Drosophila melanogaster: one gene and its partners. The protein of the gene in region 2 purifies or fractionates together with the protein of the main gene of each other region. This does not show direct contact. Each region holds a gene or a part of one and is shown on either strand. Other genes may lie near its edges.

Region 1 (7,739 bases), on a different chromosome or scaffold from region 2:
CCTAATTGGGCATTTAGCATCGTCACATGCAAGTTTCATTGTGTTTGACTTTGGCTACCTTTTAACCCGAGTGCAACAAAGGGTATATTGCTTTCGTGCTAGTCTTAAACAGCAATCTACACTTGGAGGTCTATCTAGTATTTTTTCAGTTGGGGGATCAACTCTACTTTTTTTCGTAATAACAATCGGGAAGTATTCGGTCGATCAATTTCTGATTCACTCTGTTATCTTCACCCACTCCACTGCTTATCGTCATTTATAATATTTGAATGGGTTTTAAAGCCACTTCTAACATTTATAAAGTATGGCAATCATAAACGGGTACATTTTCACACAACTACATCAAACTACTTTAACCAAAATCGAAGCTATGGGCGAATAATAGCTAAACAAATAGATACGTGGAAACCTTGAATTGGATAATACGATTTTCGCCCATCAGCAGAGTCAGCTAACAAAATAGAGTTTATGTATTTAGTCAGCCGATTACAAAGATAAAGGCACACAGAATAGTGGCTTTAATGGCTTAAAGTGGCGAAAACCACTCATTACCGACACGAGTCAGTACGAGTTTGAAGCAAAACAGCTTTGGAGCCAGCACTGATTCGGGCGAAAAGTGACAATTTTTTTGTGTATTTACTCAATTAAAATTGGAGTTTGATTTTCAGGTTTTGCACAGTTCATAATTTGTGGGCACGTGTTAATGAGACAGTTTTTGTAAGCGCATGCAGACGTTTCGTGTTCGCTTTGAATTTAGATTTCTTCACTAGCTGCCATTCGAGTTCACTTGCCAATTTCGGCACTTACATTGTTCGCTATTTATCGGTCTTTTGCCGCGCTTTAAGGTCACGGCTCACGCTGCGTATACGCAATGTGGACTTCAAGCGATCGCCCAATTGGAAAACATTCACCAACTCGCGCAACGTTCGCTCACCTGCGCATTTGAATTCGCACTGAAGGTGGAATTCGCAGTGCAGCAAGTGCGAGAATTATCGCCTCTCCCGATCTCACTGTTTCTCTCTCTTTCCATATAGCACCCGTCTATAACTTTTACCGCTGCCGCTCCCGCCGTCTGGTTTTAACTGTTCGCCCGCCGAGTGTTAGTTATAATTTTTTTATGCGCTCGCTTTTTTATTATTTAGATTGCTCTCGCGGGCTCGTCGGTTCCGTTCTGTGTCGCATTTTCCACAGCAAATTATTGTCATAATTCCGCCGCTCATTCTTCGTGCTGCTTACTATTCTTTTTTTTTTACTTATTCCTGGAGTGCAATTGCAGGCGGCATAAATTCTTAATTAGTGCAGGCCACACAGCAAATAATTTTATTTAATTGCAGCCATAGTCATGACCATAAAATAGTAAACTACTTTCAATCCATAAACGTTAAAATCATACATCTATGCACTTTATTGGAAAATATTTTATAGCACGTTGTTAGAACATAAAATTTTATAGCAAGCTTCAAAATGCATAATTGCAGAAAAAATCCATTAGGTTTAAACGTAAAATTTCTGCCTGTGCATAAAACTTAGTGGTCTTCGCCAAGAAAGAAACGAAAAAGAATGCGGAGAAAATTGGCGCACAACCAGGCAGTCTGGAAAACCTACTTCAAAAACAATAACGAATCGAAAATTTCCCTCACTAGCGAGCAGTGCGTCAAAAAAAACTTCGGACTTTTTTTTAAGTCTCAGTTAGAGTTATTCATGGTGAGTCCGCTGCGATTTGTCATATATTCTCCACCTGTTTCACTCGATTATGCACTCGTCAGCGTGTTCGAAATGTCTGTCTTATCGTGAACGATTGTCATATCTTATCAATCGAGGTCTGCTCACAATCGAAACCGCCAACGCAAAACGAAGAGCTGAATACGCGCCATCGCATTAAAGGCCACAAATCGGTCATTTTCTATGGATTTTCGCGTAATTCTACGAGAATTCTGGGCTCGATTTTGTGGGGGATTTTTGCTGTTTTCTTACTTGTGCACCGATTCGCTTATCTTTGCACATTTTCGAACGTACGCCGCCCAGCCAACACAAAAACACACAAATAGTGCCCGAATCGCATGGAATGCTTCTTTTCCAGCTGTGGGAGTCCCATGGCTGCGAAAAGCTGGTGAATTCGATTGCGTTTTATGGTAGTTATTTGGGTAGAAGCAAAGATTGTGTGGGTACAAGATGAAAATTGTAGGAGTCCCATCAATTCACAGTGAATAACACTTAATCAAGTTTTTTAATCAATTAATTCAATTTTATACTATTTTATGTCAAGTGCTAAGCAAACGGCAGTCATTTTCAGCTAATGATAAGATATGAGCTAAGACCTATTTAACTAAGTGTAACTGACCTTCTAACTTAATTTATGGCAATTAATAAATTTCATTAAATTTTGATACAAGTAAACCCAATTAACAAATCATATTTTCGCGCCAATATTCAAAATTTAAACTTACCACACTTTTCTAAGTCGAATTCGCCGCAATTCGAGCCACACTTTTCTAAGTCGAATTCGCCGCAATTCGAGCCACTAACAGCTAGCCAAGCACACAACCTAAATTAGTGCGGCTTCTAACCAACCTTTTTATTATCAAGTACCGCAACCATGCAAAGAGTTGCCAGAATGTTAATTTCGAACATTTACGTTACAAGTTGAATTTGTCATTCAAATGTTTAAATTTTTAAATGGAAATTTTGCCTTCAGCAAATATGCCTAAATTAACAGGTTTAATTAAAATAATTTTACTTATTTTACCGATATTTATAAATGCAATTAGAAAAGATATGAAAGAGCCCCCGTTAAGCTATTCAAAAACAAAACAATGTGCAACATGTTTTAAATGCTTAAATAATTTTAATTTGATATAATTCACAAGCGTTATACATTTTTTCCCTTAGACAACCCTATGAAGTGAACCTGATGCTTCCCACATAAGTAAACATCTTGGATGCACTCGAATTTCGTCGCCAGGCACCGCCAGTCTGGATCGAACTAAGCAAAGTCCAGAGCACCGCGATTGAGTATTGGGCGTTTCAAATTTCCTGGCTAATTTCTCACAATCAGTTAATGCTAACAAAAGTACTTATGCGGCGGATAGTTCCTAAGAATGTGGGAGTATGACTTTAAGATACGATAAACTTACTTAATGCAAATAGGAGTAAGATTGAAAGTTAATAATTAGTTTTAGGTACCCATAAGATGTTTTTTTCTTCGGCTCTCAAAATCTGCTTTATTTAGTTTTCGTTCTTTAAACTATGTATCTTTTAAGTGGGCAGTAAACAAGCTTCATCCACTAAAAGCCCAAACAAATATTTACTGCCTTTTTTTGCTACTATAATTGGTTTATTACTGAGCTGAGAACCTCTCCCAAAGAGATCTATTTAAATGCCGACTGAGAGATTTTAAGAACAGAGAGAGAGTTCCATTTTGTTTATGAAAAGCTAATTGCCAAATTGGGAAGCCAAAGCCTGCTGGAATATTGCATTCCATTTAAGAAAAGAGGGTAGGAAGAAGAAGAACTGGAAACGTGGCTAAATATGTTAACTAATTCATTAACTTCGTTTCCTTTTCAACGCCCACTGGAACTAGAATCAGAGAGAGAGAGAGAGAGAGAGAGAGAGAGAGAGAGAGAGAGCCAAACTTAAAATTAAAACACTACCTTTTTCCAGTTAACCGGCCGGCTTACACACACAGTCAAACGCCTGAAGCTTGAAAGAGAGTGTTTGCTTGATGAGAGCGGCAAGCGTATAAAAGCAGCGTCGCCGGCAGAAGAAAGTCAGTTGCAGTGCAGTCGTCGTGACGATCGGTTCAGTGATAGCTTCCCAGTGGCTGGAGAGAGTGAGAGTAGAGAGTAACGGAAAGAGAGTGCGAATCGAACCGAACGCTATTCCTTCGCCCACGATTTAAGTGAACGCTTATTAGCGAATTGAAGACCCGAGAGCCCCAGTGCCCAGCTGATTTCGTATTCTTTGTTGAGGTAAGCCAAGGAATCCCTGGAACCACCTCATTTCGTAGCACCTTAGTGATGTAATTACGCACCAAGATTTACCCTTGCCAAAAAGTGGAAAACGCTTTTGCGAACTTCGATGCCGAATGGTGTTCGTCTCGAATCGGTTCTAAAATTACACACAATGGTTTTTTGGCTTCGATTGATTTGATTTGATTTTTGGGTCAATCGATTCGAAATCGAAAAGTTTTGAACTCGTTTCGCAGAATCGCAGTTCGCGCGGATCTCTCGCCTCGCTCGCAAGCAAATATGTGAAGGACAACGACGTTAACCGATCAACTAGAAGCCCTCTTCTTCTGCCTCTTCAGAACCGATCAGATCGGAATAGAAATATAGAAACGACCATAGCACCTCCGTCGACTGTGGAGTGCGTGAACGTATTTCGAAGCGTGAGGTACTCGAACCGGAACCAACTTGAGTGTAGTGCATATTCGGGATCTTATCCAAACGCAGGCTTACATAACCCCTATTTTAATACCTTTTCAAAAAGGAATAATTGAAATTCAAAACAAAATTATTTAGCAACAAACAAACAATCAGTTATATTTTTGAACTGATATGCCTCGGGGCTAGGGGTCCCAGACTTTCAAATTCTAGTGATAACCCCCCCGATCGGCGAGTTCATCTGGAAATGTTGCCCATATGGGCCGGGTGCACGTGAATCTCTTCAGTGCCCATTGACGCACTTTGTGTGCCTCCACTGGGTCCTTGACCCGCTGTGATCCCTGCCCTTTCCCATGGATTGGATAATCTAGGTGTCATTATCTTCCCTAACCTTTTCCCACGATTAAAGTGAAACCATTTGCCACGATTTTAGTGCCGTAGTGCCAGATCAAAGAGCCAAAATAGATCAGAGAATCGAAATTTAATTAAATCATGACACCGAAACACCGAGACAGACCAAATTAAATTCAATTGAAGCTGTCATGGCAACAAGTGCCAGCAAAAAAAAGGAAGAGCACTACGGCGAAACCAGAAGATAACACCGAAAAGTCAAATCGATTGTTGCAATTTGAGACTCTCCGAAAGCGAAAATTGCAGCGGAAGAGGCGGCCAATCGGCCATTACTAAACGGTGATGGGGTTGGGGAGGGGATCCGAAGTCTTGGTGACTGACTGGGCGCCCTGCCAAAATGATGGCAAAGGCAGAGACACCATGATTCCTCAGCCAAATCGAACGAAAACGGGTTTACGCTCTACATGGACCCCATTGCACACTGAATCCGTTTATCCAGCGAGGCAAAAAGTGCCGACGACAATGGAAACAGGGGCGTAGTATCCGTACCTCCTCCGTCCTACGATTCTTCCAGCAGCGCCAACGCCCCAAAAGATATTGATTCCGACTTTTGCGCGATTCAGCGAAAAACATAAGGGGACCAAAAGTGGGCAGACGGGCGGAGGAGTGGTGTCTGTTTCTTTGATATGCGTGGGTGTGTTGTCTGTGCGGCAATCGATGCACTTCCGGTGGGTTCTATGGGGAAATACTCTTGCGTTTCAGTATATATCTACTATATATATTGCAATTTTATGGTAATTATATTTTCTGTCAACTTTTGCCTTGACTCCGCTTGATTTATTGCATTGTTCTTGAAGAATAGCCTCATAAGGCATGCAAGCAAACATGGCTTTCGAACTAGCGCAAAATTAGCTAGTAGCTTATAGAGTATATGTAGCTTACCCCCAACGGTTTTTATATCATTTGTTTAAACCACTTAAGAATATTCGTAGCCTTGTGGACACACTTTATCGTGGATCGTGGAAGTTATACGACACCGTAATATATCCTTATCACTCACGCATATTCTGGCCCACTTCAGCTAGAAACGTTTGGCGCGTTCGCCTTATCATAAAAATCAGGCTATCGACTGATTAACTGAGTTTAATAAGCCAGCAAACGTAAACAAAAACTACGAAAGTTCTGGAAAACTAACCAAGGCTATTTCAAAACGGCGTGAAATGGCTAGCACTCTAAATTATTGAAGTTTTCAACATATGTATATCTAATCTGATAGCCAAGAAAACATAATGGTTACCAACTTTCCATATACACCGTAATTTATTATTGATGAATATCAAATTATCGATAGTACTTCCCCGATAAGATTCTGTTAACACACATTGCTCTACTTTTCTATCAGGGAATTGCATTGAGAAAGCGCAGAGATGGCCGATGAAGCACAAGCACCACCAGCTGAGGGAGCACCACCAGCCGAGGGAGAGGCGCCACCACCCGCCGAGGGAGCCGAGGGTGCCGTCGAGGGCGGAGAGGCCGCTCCACCAGCAGAGCCCGCCGAGCCCATCAAGCACAGCTACACGCTCTTCTACTTCAACGTGAAGGCGTTGGCCGAGCCCCTGCGCTACCTGTTCGCCTACGGCAACCAGGAGTACGAGGATGTGCGCGTCACCCGCGACGAGTGGCCAGCCCTGAAGCCCAGTGAGTGCCATAGTCCATCATTGAGTGGTCAGTGGACTAACCATAATCTACTCTGTCTCATCCAATAGCCATGCCCATGGGACAGATGCCCGTGCTGGAGGTGGACGGCAAGCGTGTGCACCAGAGCATTTCGATGGCTCGATTCCTGGCCAAGACTGTCGGCCTGTGCGGCGCTACTCCGTGGGAGGATCTGCAGATCGACATTGTCGTTGACACCATCAATGACTTCCGTCTAAGTAGCGAACAATGTGTGCCTCAGTTTCATGTTCAGTGTCCTTGATTAACTCTGGAATTTTTAATGTATAGAAATTGCAGTCGTCTCGTACGAGCCGGAGGACGAGATTAAAGAGAAGAAGTTGGTCACCCTGAATGCGGAGGTCATTCCATTCTACCTGGAGAAGCTCGAGCAGACCGTCAAGGACAACGATGGTCACCTGGCTCTGGGCAAGGTGCGTGCTCAAATGAGAACTTGAAACCATACACTCGTTAATTTTGAATGAACAATACTAAGAACCATCGATTCCTTTCACCCACAGCTGACCTGGGCCGACGTCTACTTCGCAGGCATCACCGACTACATGAACTACATGGTCAAGCGCGATCTGTTGGAACCCTACCCAGCTCTGCGCGGAGTCGTGGATGCCGTCAACGCTTTGGAACCGATCAAGGCCTGGATCGAGAAGCGCCCCGTCACCGAGGTCTAAGTTCACCGAACAGGACTTGGGAGGATGGGAAAGCATTGCACAACCACTCAGACACAACCGCACCGCAGAAATGCACACCACCCACATCTGCACACATTTTGTTCCTTTTTGCGGAGGATCCGAGAGGACGGCGGATTTTCGCACGGGGTCATAAACGCGTAGGAGTTTAGCACGTATCACTATGGATAAATCGTATTTGTTCTTAATTTCTTGGTTATAATTCTCTTTGCATGGCGCTATATACATATTTCTATTGGGGTCCGGCAGCGGATCGCCGTTCGTTAGCTTCTTCTGAAATGATGAAAGATAATACTTATTGCACAGTTTATAATATTTTGGCTTACTTTTAGAACATACATTTAGCGCACCTATGCAGACATTTGCTGTACCTATATATATATATATATGCATAAAATACAAAAGCTACGAGTGGTTCATCTTATAGGCGTATTCTATTGCAATTTATTCAATGCGGAGGGCTCAATAAATATTTAAAACAACACCAGCTAAGGCTGAGAAACAATTACAAATTCTTATTTTGTTTTTTATACAACACGCCATCGCGGCCCCAGGAATTTTCTTCGTCTCATCCAGTTCCCTTTTA
Region 2 (4,821 bases):
AACTTTGGTTTTCCATAACTAACACATGTCAACGGGTCGGATTCGATGGCCATGATTTCGTTTTCGTATTTAGCAAGTTGCTCAGACTGTTTTGCTATTTTACAATGTTTTTCGACGTTTTCTCAAGGGTCTTTTCCATGTCTATGTCTTCTTTGTTTTTTTTTTTCTTTGTCTTTATAAATATATTGATCTAGTTTTCTTGCTTCGAAAACTTTTTGTTTTTAATGAATACAATTACGTCATTTTGTGGGTGTTGTTTGAGTTAATTTTAAAATTTTCATCAACCTCGGACTGGCAAATGTTCTCCAAGATAAGAGAACAACAAAAAATGGAATAAGTAAATACATATATGTATATATGTTGGGGCTATCAAATTGGCTTATATTTATAGGTTTATATTTAAAGACTTTAGTTGCATTCGAACATATAAGATCTCCAACAATTTTGTTGGCGATAAGATTAAAAGGGCGTGATCAACGAGTAAGCAAGCAATCTAGAAGGGCAAATATGCATATCACCAGATCGGAAACTCAACGATTATGGGGAAACTGAATTTCAACCGTTTTCACGTTTGCAATTTAAAAAAGCATGAATCATGGATGCATTTTCTTGCGAGACAGTTACAAAAAAACGTATACTTTCATATGTGACATTTATGATTGCCAGCAAAATGTTTTCCGTTCGCAGACATGACGTTGAAAAATCTATAGAAAGAGCTTTAATATATAGAGCAGAAAATAATAATCTGTAGACCTATGGGGGAAATACGTACGTATAACTACGTGAAACAAGATTTTTTGGCATATCAATAACTGAAAATTAAAAATAGAAGTTGAGAACATCAAAAAGCAAAACAAAACGATCCCCAAACCAATACACTCTCATCGGGAAAAGAGACACGATTGCCTAAGTATTGGATATATTTTGCAATGGGCAAAAACACTGGGTGAAAAGAGCTTTTCAAAATACGGGGAAATATTCAAAAATAGGCTGAAAGAAAGGCATTCGATTCGAAATGAGTGAGCATTACCCATACATGTGCAGCGAACAGGTGAAAGCACCAAGGAAAGGATCGGAAAAGAGAGGCAGAGAGAAAGCGGAGAGAGAGCGCAGGCGCCGGGCTTGAATGTGTGTGTATAAATTGTAACTGTATTTGAAATTCTGATCTTATGCTTTCCGTTACACTGGCAGAAATCGGATAGGAACATAAATTAAATATATTACGGGCTGAGGGGTAAAGAAATGTTGTACAGCTTTCTTAACTGGCATAGCCCATTTCACTTTGGAGTATTTTCTGAATGAAAAAAACATTTAATATAATTTATAAATGAATTTCAAAATTCAAATTTGTAATAACAAAAGTAGCATGAGTAAATGATGATAAATGATAAGTGCGACATAAATTTATAAATACATTAAATCAAAAGTGCATATTAAATGTCCTGATATTAGAAAGCATGCATGATTACATTAAATATGAGTATATAAATAAGAACAAATGCACCCCTTTGTTGATTTCGCGCAGTGTATAAGCTATTGTACCCCGGCCGAGCAATTTACCGATGCTCTTGGGGTAAATTGAGAGCCAAGTGCAGTTCCAAAGTAGGCGCAGACAGCAACAACATATGCTCGCTTTTGGCCGAAAAGTGCGCACTCTCGCACACAGATACTCACGCACACAGGCGCACTAGCGCGGCGGCTCACACGCACACACACCAGCGCAAGCCGCTCGAAATCGACCAAGCGGCGAGCATCGAACGTCAACATATTGAATAAATATTTTCAGTTGAACATCACAATCCGTTCAAGTCGCGGATAACTCCGAATAAAAGTTTTGTAAGTAAAAAGGAATACGTTATCGTTGATCAGTAAAAAATTATACAAAAAAAAATACAAAGATATCGCTGAATATTTCCACAAAAATACTTGTCGAGTGCTTCAAAAATAATTTTAACTGTGCTAGAATTCGATTCTTATTTAAAAAAAAGGATCGAACCAAAAAGTATAATTACATAACCACAACGTTGCTGCAATATCTAACTTAAAATCCACCAAAGTGCTGTGCAATTCTCAACCCTAATCATCCGCAAGTATTGAAAAAAATTGAAAATTTTCCCAGTTAGAATCGAAATAAACCCAAATAGAGGTTAAGCACCTTTGCAGATCGCGAAAAAAAAACTAAGAATAACGATTCTGGGGACCTTGTCAAGTTTGTCTGCTAACCGCAAGTTGCTATATAGGGTTTCAGCTAAACGTATTTCATGAGATATATAAACATGGTCAGTGGGAACTTCGAACGATCTTAGATTTTAGCGGCAGAAGTAAAGAATTAAGGCAAAAGGAGGATTATCGAGCTCTCTTTCCTCCTTTCAGAAACTAAAATTGTCATGTTGTATATGAGAAAGTAAGGGAATCATTCTTAAGATAAAGATCAATGAGATAGACTTCAAGATAGCTATCCTTGCTATGGAATGGTTTCCTGAATTATAATTTTCTTTAATCCAAAATGTTTAGGAATTCATTGAGCCTATTTTCCAAGTAACTGGGCAACACGCGCATTTACTTTGCAGTTTTGTATCTTTGAAATCTGATCCACGACCGCTGGCCCTAGCTGCCAAATGAATCTGAAGCGAACGTAGGCGAAATGCGCCAAGAATTTCCCAGAAAGCTCCCTTCCTCTCAGCTTAGTATTAAGTAATATCCGTGGAGAGGCTAGATATTCAACAGATGCCTCGGCTGTCCTATTTTTAGATACAATCCGTGTGTGCTACAGATACTAAACAGTGAAATAGAGAGCAGGAAAGCTGCTAGAGTATCGCCCAAGGCATTTGGCTAAAGAATCTATATGCATTAGACCCATTTGAACCAACGTGTGTATATATCGTACTCTAAGAATAGAAAATTCTGTATTCTGTATGATTAAATTCCGAATTTTCCATGCGATAATTTGTAAATTTTGTGTGGAAAGGTAGATCTTATAAGGTCGGATACAGATGGAAAATATCTGTAACTTGTAAACTAGGCAGAAAAGTAGGAATTGCGAGGTGCCAGTTCATAAGGATGGCTTGTTAGTTGGCCATAGTTAGTTAGATATAAAAAATGAGTTATACATATACGCATTTTGTTTCCTGAAATATTAACTTTGTTCCTAATGATAACGTCATTTCTTGATAAGGATGATCTTAATACTCATAAACCTCTTTGGTGTAGGCCCATTTTTCGATTATATATATGTCATTGCCGAAAGTTATAAGATGTCATGGGAATTTTGTGCTGAATCAACGCAAACATAACTCAATGTGTCACCTTAATCGACTTATGGCCCATACACATGCAGATTTATATATATATATATATGTATATCTGTGTGTTTTTTAAGCGAACAAAAAATTTGCCTCGATTGCGTTTTCATTAAAATTCAACGTTTTTTTTTTTTGGCTTTGGCTTTATTCGATTGGCGCTTTTTTCTCCAATGCCACTTCTCTTCGGCGGATCAGGCACAGGAATGTAAACAGAGTTTTTAAAAATAAATGCATGTTTAAGGCAGAACCACACAACAAATGACAGCGATGAGCCGTAATAAAGAATTAAAATTTCACGCGGCGAAATTCGAGTCAATTAGCCGCCGGCTGCACTCGGTTCGAGCCATGACAAATGTTGGTCAAGTGGGTTTCGTGTTGGCCAGGAAAGGCAAAGGGGGTGTCAATGGGCACCAAGGAGGGGCCAAAAAACCCACCAGCTGCGTTCACATTGAGTCAGAAGTCTGGAGCTGCTCGAGAAAAGGGGCAATAGCCCAGTGCAGCTGAGTGATTCATCTTGGGTTTTTAATTCGAGGATGGTAGCTACAGCATCTGCACTTTACTGATAAGAATGCAATTCCAAGATAAAGCGCACATTTGTAAATATAAATTGATTTGAGTAAACATATATGGCACCTAAGAGTATGCAATGATATATGTTAGTTAAAAAAATATATTAAATGAGCTTACTATCATTTCAAATCCTCATTCTACTTTCGAAGATTTAGAAGACTTTATCTATGCAGCAATTTCTTGGCCCAGATTGGAATCTACTGACACAATTTTGGCTGGTGACAGAACTCTCTATTCGAGAATGTACCCAGTTCGTCCAGCTTCGTTTGGCTCCACACCACGCGATCCGATGTGATCTGCATAAATAAACACCCTGCTTTCGGTGTTTCGAAGTATATCCCAGAAAATAAGGTTCAATTTTAGGTATTCTCGTTTAAATGATTTACTGTGACGAGATGAGAAAACACTCTCAAAGTTCAGAACATCAGCGAAAGAATCGGACAATAAAAGTCGTGAAGAGACGCCGTCGAAATATTAAATTCTCAATTTATCAGTTGGCTAAGCTCGAACAATGCGACTGACTGGCATCGAAAAGGGGGCCTTGGTTGTTTCGGTTTTGGCCAGGCCGAATAATTTATTGACTCTGCCACCTTTCGTCCAAAAATGGCTATCCATTATTGCAAAAAACTCGCTGTGTAGCTTGAAATGGAAGAAAGATCTGCCAGTTATTTTGATAACATGCAGATAAGATGGGAGCTTTAAAGTTATGAATTTAAATACATATATGTGCAGAAATCAGATTGCAGGATCCTCATGTAAATACACAAGTTATAAAATTGCTAAATTAATCATAAAATGCAAATGCATTTTCCATATAGTTTCACTTTCGCACAAGCCATGTTTGGACTTGAATACTACTCCCCTTGCACTTGCTGATTATCGCATAAATCTGCTAATTGCTTTATTGGCTTGCACTTAACCATGGTTTTAGCCGCAATCTCATCTCCAT
Region 3 (4,714 bases), on a different chromosome or scaffold from region 2:
TGCTGCCGCTGTTGCTGTTGATGTTGCCGTGGTGATAGGCAGCCCCAGCCGCAGCGACGGCGCCGGCTTGGTTCGACGACGTCTGTTGCTGCTGCTGCTGCTGAGCGTGGAGATGGTGATGATTCAGACTGCAAAACGGAGGATAGAGCAAGCAAATTGGTTAATCGATGGCCACAAGTAAGAGCTCCTGGGGCGGATGCGCTGGCTTCTGCGGTTATATCAGCAAACAATGCACACCAAGAGGATTATAGAGGCCATCGAGACAAAAGTGTACATCGACTGGCGCACGGGAAAAACAAAAACACCAACGAGAGAGGTCCTAGAAGCTTCGTGGCCCCCCCCAACCCTCTGCCGTATGTTGTTGTTCCTGCGGAATAGCAGACAACAGCGACCACGCCGAACAATGGACAAAATCCTAACAAAGCACAAAAGCCGCATTCTCTTACGCATCGTGTCATTTTTCGCCAACTGTCAGTTTCAATTGAGACGCACCTACTGCGACACCCTGCTCCTGCAACCGCTCCCTACCTTTCCTTTCCCAATGATCGAGGGTAGGAGAGCACTCTAGCGACCTTTACCTACAGCCTCGTACATTTCACAAGACAAGGAAATATTTTTGGCAATTTATAATCGCTAAATCAGTACGGAAACAAGCCTTCAAATTAACATTGATATGGGCAATTTGTGATTAGGATCAGTTGATATGCGATAAAAATGTCCTGCGTAAGGGAAAGGTAATTAATTGAATGCTCTTAATGTTTATGGACACTCTTTTTTGAAAACAAGTCTGAGCAATGTGATAATCCATATTTCAGGCTAATACAAATCTGTAGTAATATCTGAAGTTTATTCCTTTCGTACCTTTCACTTGCAAGTTATATGGTTAAGAGGATTTGATTTCATTTGCAAAATCTCATCTCTTATCTTTACGAGTTCTTTAATTTATTGTCTTGCGAACTTATTAGATCCCGCTTCAGTTTCTATAACTTTAATCTTCTTGCATATTTCACCTCTCACTTGGCACTGATGAAAGTCTATCATGATCGTTAAAAGATCGTACGCAAATGTACGTTAGAATCAGCGAACGTCGGTAATAAATTCATGTGCGACCCGATCCGACCGGCAGGCAAAACGCAACTGAATGCGGAACTGGATGAGCAGTTTGCAGAGAGTTTGGCGAAACATATGATCGTAGACAATACGAGGAGCCTGAACTACTGGAGGCCGAGCCGAAGGATACTCGCGAACGTCAAGGATAATTGCAGCGCAGTCGGCAGGGCAAACCCGTTATCATCGAGCGGAAGTCATGCTGAGCGCGAAAGAACAAAGAGCCACTGAAATTATAATTTATGAGTTGAGAAAATGGGATGATGAGTCTCACACCAATTGTCAGTGACAGGAATTAACATAATTGCCGCAACGCATAAAGCTCAGACAAGCTGGCGTTTCGAGTCGATGTGGAATCTCTCTAGGATCCAACCAAGCCAGGGAGATACATTTTCCTCACCTGAGATTCACACTGAGTCCATGAGATCCAACCAGTGGCTAGTGGTACATTATTGCCTAAACAATTTATACTGAGATCTCGATCTAGATTAGGAAACTCTATAAGATGTTATCCCATATTAATAACACACCTATCTAAAAGTTCCTTCCTGTACATAGATAGATGGGAATTCTTCTAGACTTGGAAAACCTATTTAACCCATGTTACCCCTTCTTGTTTACATGGAGTTTCGATTGAATGAAGGGGATGATAACCATTTCCGAAAACAAACTGAACCAACAAGGCGTACCATCTTGTTTAACTCCAAACATAGTTAGAACTGCTAAATTGGAACCGAACTCCAAAAGGTATCACAATTTAATAAACTGATACTACTCTTATTTGACTGAAGGATGAAGCATTATCTGGTTTAATTGTTATTCCTGATAGCGTCAACGACATAGATGGCTTACCGTGCGTGGAGGTCGCGATGTGGAGGCTGCTGGGGCGGCGGTGGCGGCTGCTGTTGCTGCTGAAGACTGGGGCCCAGGTGCTGCTCCATGCCGGGATGCAGATGCATGTGGGCATGGCTGTGGCTGTGATGGTGCGCAGCTCGGATGTGGGGCGCTGGCCGGGCGGCATGAACGTTGTGCTGCATTTTCTTGAGCTGTAACCTTTAGGACTCCCGTATGAACCAGCGACCGCAGCTGCAAGGAGGAAAAGGAACATGGATGAGACGGACACAAACAATGTTTTCCCTGTCCGCACAAAGGGCCCTGGAGGTGTTTCTTTGTGCGGCGATTGTGCGTAAACAAGTTGCAACTGCATGCGGGGCATATAAATGCGAAATGCAAATGGACATGGTGCACACGTATCTACCTATATACATACATACATATGTGTGTGCATACATATATGCGTATATATATATATATATACATAGAAATGCAACTGAAGCGACGACATCGGCCTAAATCAAATTGTGACAGGCGGCGGGTAGAAGGGTTCAAATCGACTGATTCGTTGCCGATGCCAAGCAACCACTCCTGGTTGCACTTTTCTGGTTCTTACGGCCCTCCGGTTGCCTTATGCCTCTGTGTGTTCTTGGTGAAATCGGATAAAATGCAGCTGCAGTGCGCAATTCAGGTTTCGTGCATTCCGTGCAGGGGTTCAAGGACCCAGACCCAAACCAAGACCAAGAACAAGACCTAGACCCAGATCCACACATCCATGGATTCTGTTCCCTTCCCTTCCATTCCGTTCCGTAACCCCATTCCGATTCCCAGTCCGCATCCGAAACGAGAGTGGCATAACGATCTGCAGACGCAACTCACCTTCTTGCGCTCCCAAAACGATTTTCGTACGCAATGGTCACGGGAAAATCACAACAACTGAATGCAAATACTCCGTTCGATCGATGGACACATGCACATCCATTCATGCGGGCTGGCCTCGATCGTTTGCGCAACTTAAAAAACACTTTAGAACTACTTTAACACTTAAATTAAATTGATAAACCTATTTTGCACTGTGGCTGCGGATGAAACTCGAAAAATAATGGCTTTTAGGCGAGCGGGAAGCGGGGTGGTTGCGTACGGCGGTGTTGGAAAGCGCGCGCGCAGAAGCGCCAGGGCTGCACAATAGTCGATCTGGTATTTTATGCCTATCGAAATTGATAACTTTAAAAAGGGCATAAATATTAATTCGAAATTATTTAAATCTGTAATTACGAAATATTTAACTAACAGGCTTATTGATTGAATTACAAACAACAAACAACAGCATGCGTTTTCCTGTTCAAGTGTATTTTAGTATTTGTTGGACAGAAAGCCAGCGTTTTTAGGCGCCAATGCTTAAGGTCACACTGCAAAATAATATTAAAAATAAAAACATATTTTTAAGAATTTTATCATCAGACAAACAAAAACTGAAAAACAGTGGCTATTTAAAGAACGCCCTATTACTTTTATTTTTGGGATGAACCCGGGGATGCCCCCAAGGTTGCTAGATCATGAAAATGATGACGCCACCAATTCGCTTCGATTGTTTTGATAATATTTTGGCTGTGACTCATTCGCCGGCTGGCCGATGTTTTCACTTTTGTTGTGGCCCCGAATGGCATTTAAGGCATTCCGGTGTAGACAGCAGACCAGAGAGCAAGCACACGCAGTTCCGCGATTACGCAGCACACCCACAATTACTCAGTTCAGTCCGTCAATATGTTCGATTTCAATTTGGAATTTGCGCGTGGAGGTGCCCGTTTCACCAGCGAACTTTTTCAGCTTTTGAGCGCTGGCGGGCTCAAGGAGAACGTCGTCTTCTCGCCCTTCTCCATCCAAACTTGCATTGCCCTGGCCTTTGCCGGATCGCAGGGTGAAACCGCCGACGAGATCGCCAAGGCACTGCACTTCGTCTCCAACTTTCCGCCGGAGGTGGCCCAAACGTTCCAGTTTGTGCTGGAGAAGTACCGCAACAGTAACCTGCTGCGCGTTGCCAACAAGCTGTACGTGCAGGAGGGCAAGCAGCTGAAGCCCGCCTACCAGTCGGCCATCAAGGAGCAGTATCATTCGGAGGCGGAGTCCATTAACTTTGCGCTCAACGATGCCGCCGCCCAGGCCATCAATGCCTGGGTGAATGCCAAGACTCAGGGCAAGATTACGGAGCTGGTCAGCGCGGACTCGTTCTCGGACAACACCAGGCTGGTCCTGCTCAATGCCCTCCACTTCAAGGGCAGCTGGGCGCACAAGTTCAGCGAGGAGCGCACCGAGGAGGATATCTTCTGGGTGGGCGAGGAGGAGCAGGTTAAAATCAACTACATGAACCAGAAGGCCAAGTTCAACTATGGCTTCTTCGAAGATCTGGGCTGCACTGCCCTGGAGATGCCCTACCAGGACTCTGACCTCTCCATGTTCGTGCTGCTGCCGCAGGAGCGGACAGGTATTTACGCCCTAGCCGAGAAGCTCAAGACTGTGAACCTGGTGGATTTGGCCGACAAGTTGACCGTGGAAGAGGTCCATGTCAAGTTCCCCAAGTTTAAGGTGGACTACTCCCTGGAATTGGCCGAGAAACTGAAGCAGGTACATATTATTTTTTTTTTTTGGGGGTGGGGGGGGTTGATTGTTCCACCCAATTTATGCCACAATTAAGCTCCATTTGGGGTCAGCTTTTGTTTTTATATAACACAGTTCCTTGACCTCCATTTGATGTTGCGTGCTTAAGGTGAAGTTT

The links.
Region 1: the proteins of Tm1 (region 2) and GstS1 fractionate together in Drosophila melanogaster (co-fractionation; 2 studies listed by BioGRID). This does not show direct contact.
Region 3: the proteins of Tm1 (region 2) and stau purify together in Drosophila melanogaster (affinity purification with western blotting, with the first as the bait; one study listed by BioGRID). This does not show direct contact.

What each region holds. Positions count from the first base shown.
Region 1 is NT_033778.4:17,093,457-17,101,195, reverse strand, and holds the start of GstS1 (glutathione S transferase S1), read left to right. Parts: upstream 1-1,694; 5' UTR 1,695-1,704; intron 1,705-2,889; exon of another isoform or gene 2,890-3,070; intron 3,071-3,660; exon of another isoform or gene 3,661-3,968; intron 3,969-4,218; exon of another isoform or gene 4,219-4,392; intron 4,393-6,135; 5' UTR 6,136-6,160; coding exon 6,161-6,431; intron 6,432-6,499; coding exon 6,500-6,679; intron 6,680-6,737; coding exon of another isoform or gene 6,738-6,746; coding exon 6,747-6,880; intron 6,881-6,967; coding exon 6,968-7,135; 3' UTR 7,136-7,739. UniProt on the Drosophila melanogaster protein: Conjugation of reduced glutathione to a wide number of exogenous and endogenous hydrophobic electrophiles. May be involved in the detoxification of metabolites produced during cellular division and morphogenesis.
Region 2 is NT_033777.3:15,279,768-15,284,588, forward strand, and holds the start of Tm1 (tropomyosin 1), read left to right. Parts: upstream 1-1,782; 5' UTR 1,783-1,836; exon of another isoform or gene 1,837-2,090; intron 2,091-4,821. UniProt on the Drosophila melanogaster protein: Tropomyosin, in association with the troponin complex, plays a central role in the calcium dependent regulation of muscle contraction.
Region 3 is NT_033778.4:18,122,735-18,127,448, forward strand, and holds the start of stau (staufen), read right to left. Parts: upstream 3,046-4,714; 5' UTR 2,821-3,045; intron 2,194-2,820; 5' UTR 2,145-2,193; coding exon 1,960-2,144; intron 1,140-1,959; exon of another isoform or gene 1,011-1,139; intron 129-1,010; coding exon 1-128. Other genes in the region: Spn55B (serpin 55B), read left to right, coding at 3,706-4,563. UniProt on the Drosophila melanogaster protein: RNA-binding protein which forms ribonucleoprotein complexes (RNPs) that play critical roles in the localization, translational repression and turnover of RNAs during embryogenesis, neurotransmission and neurogenesis.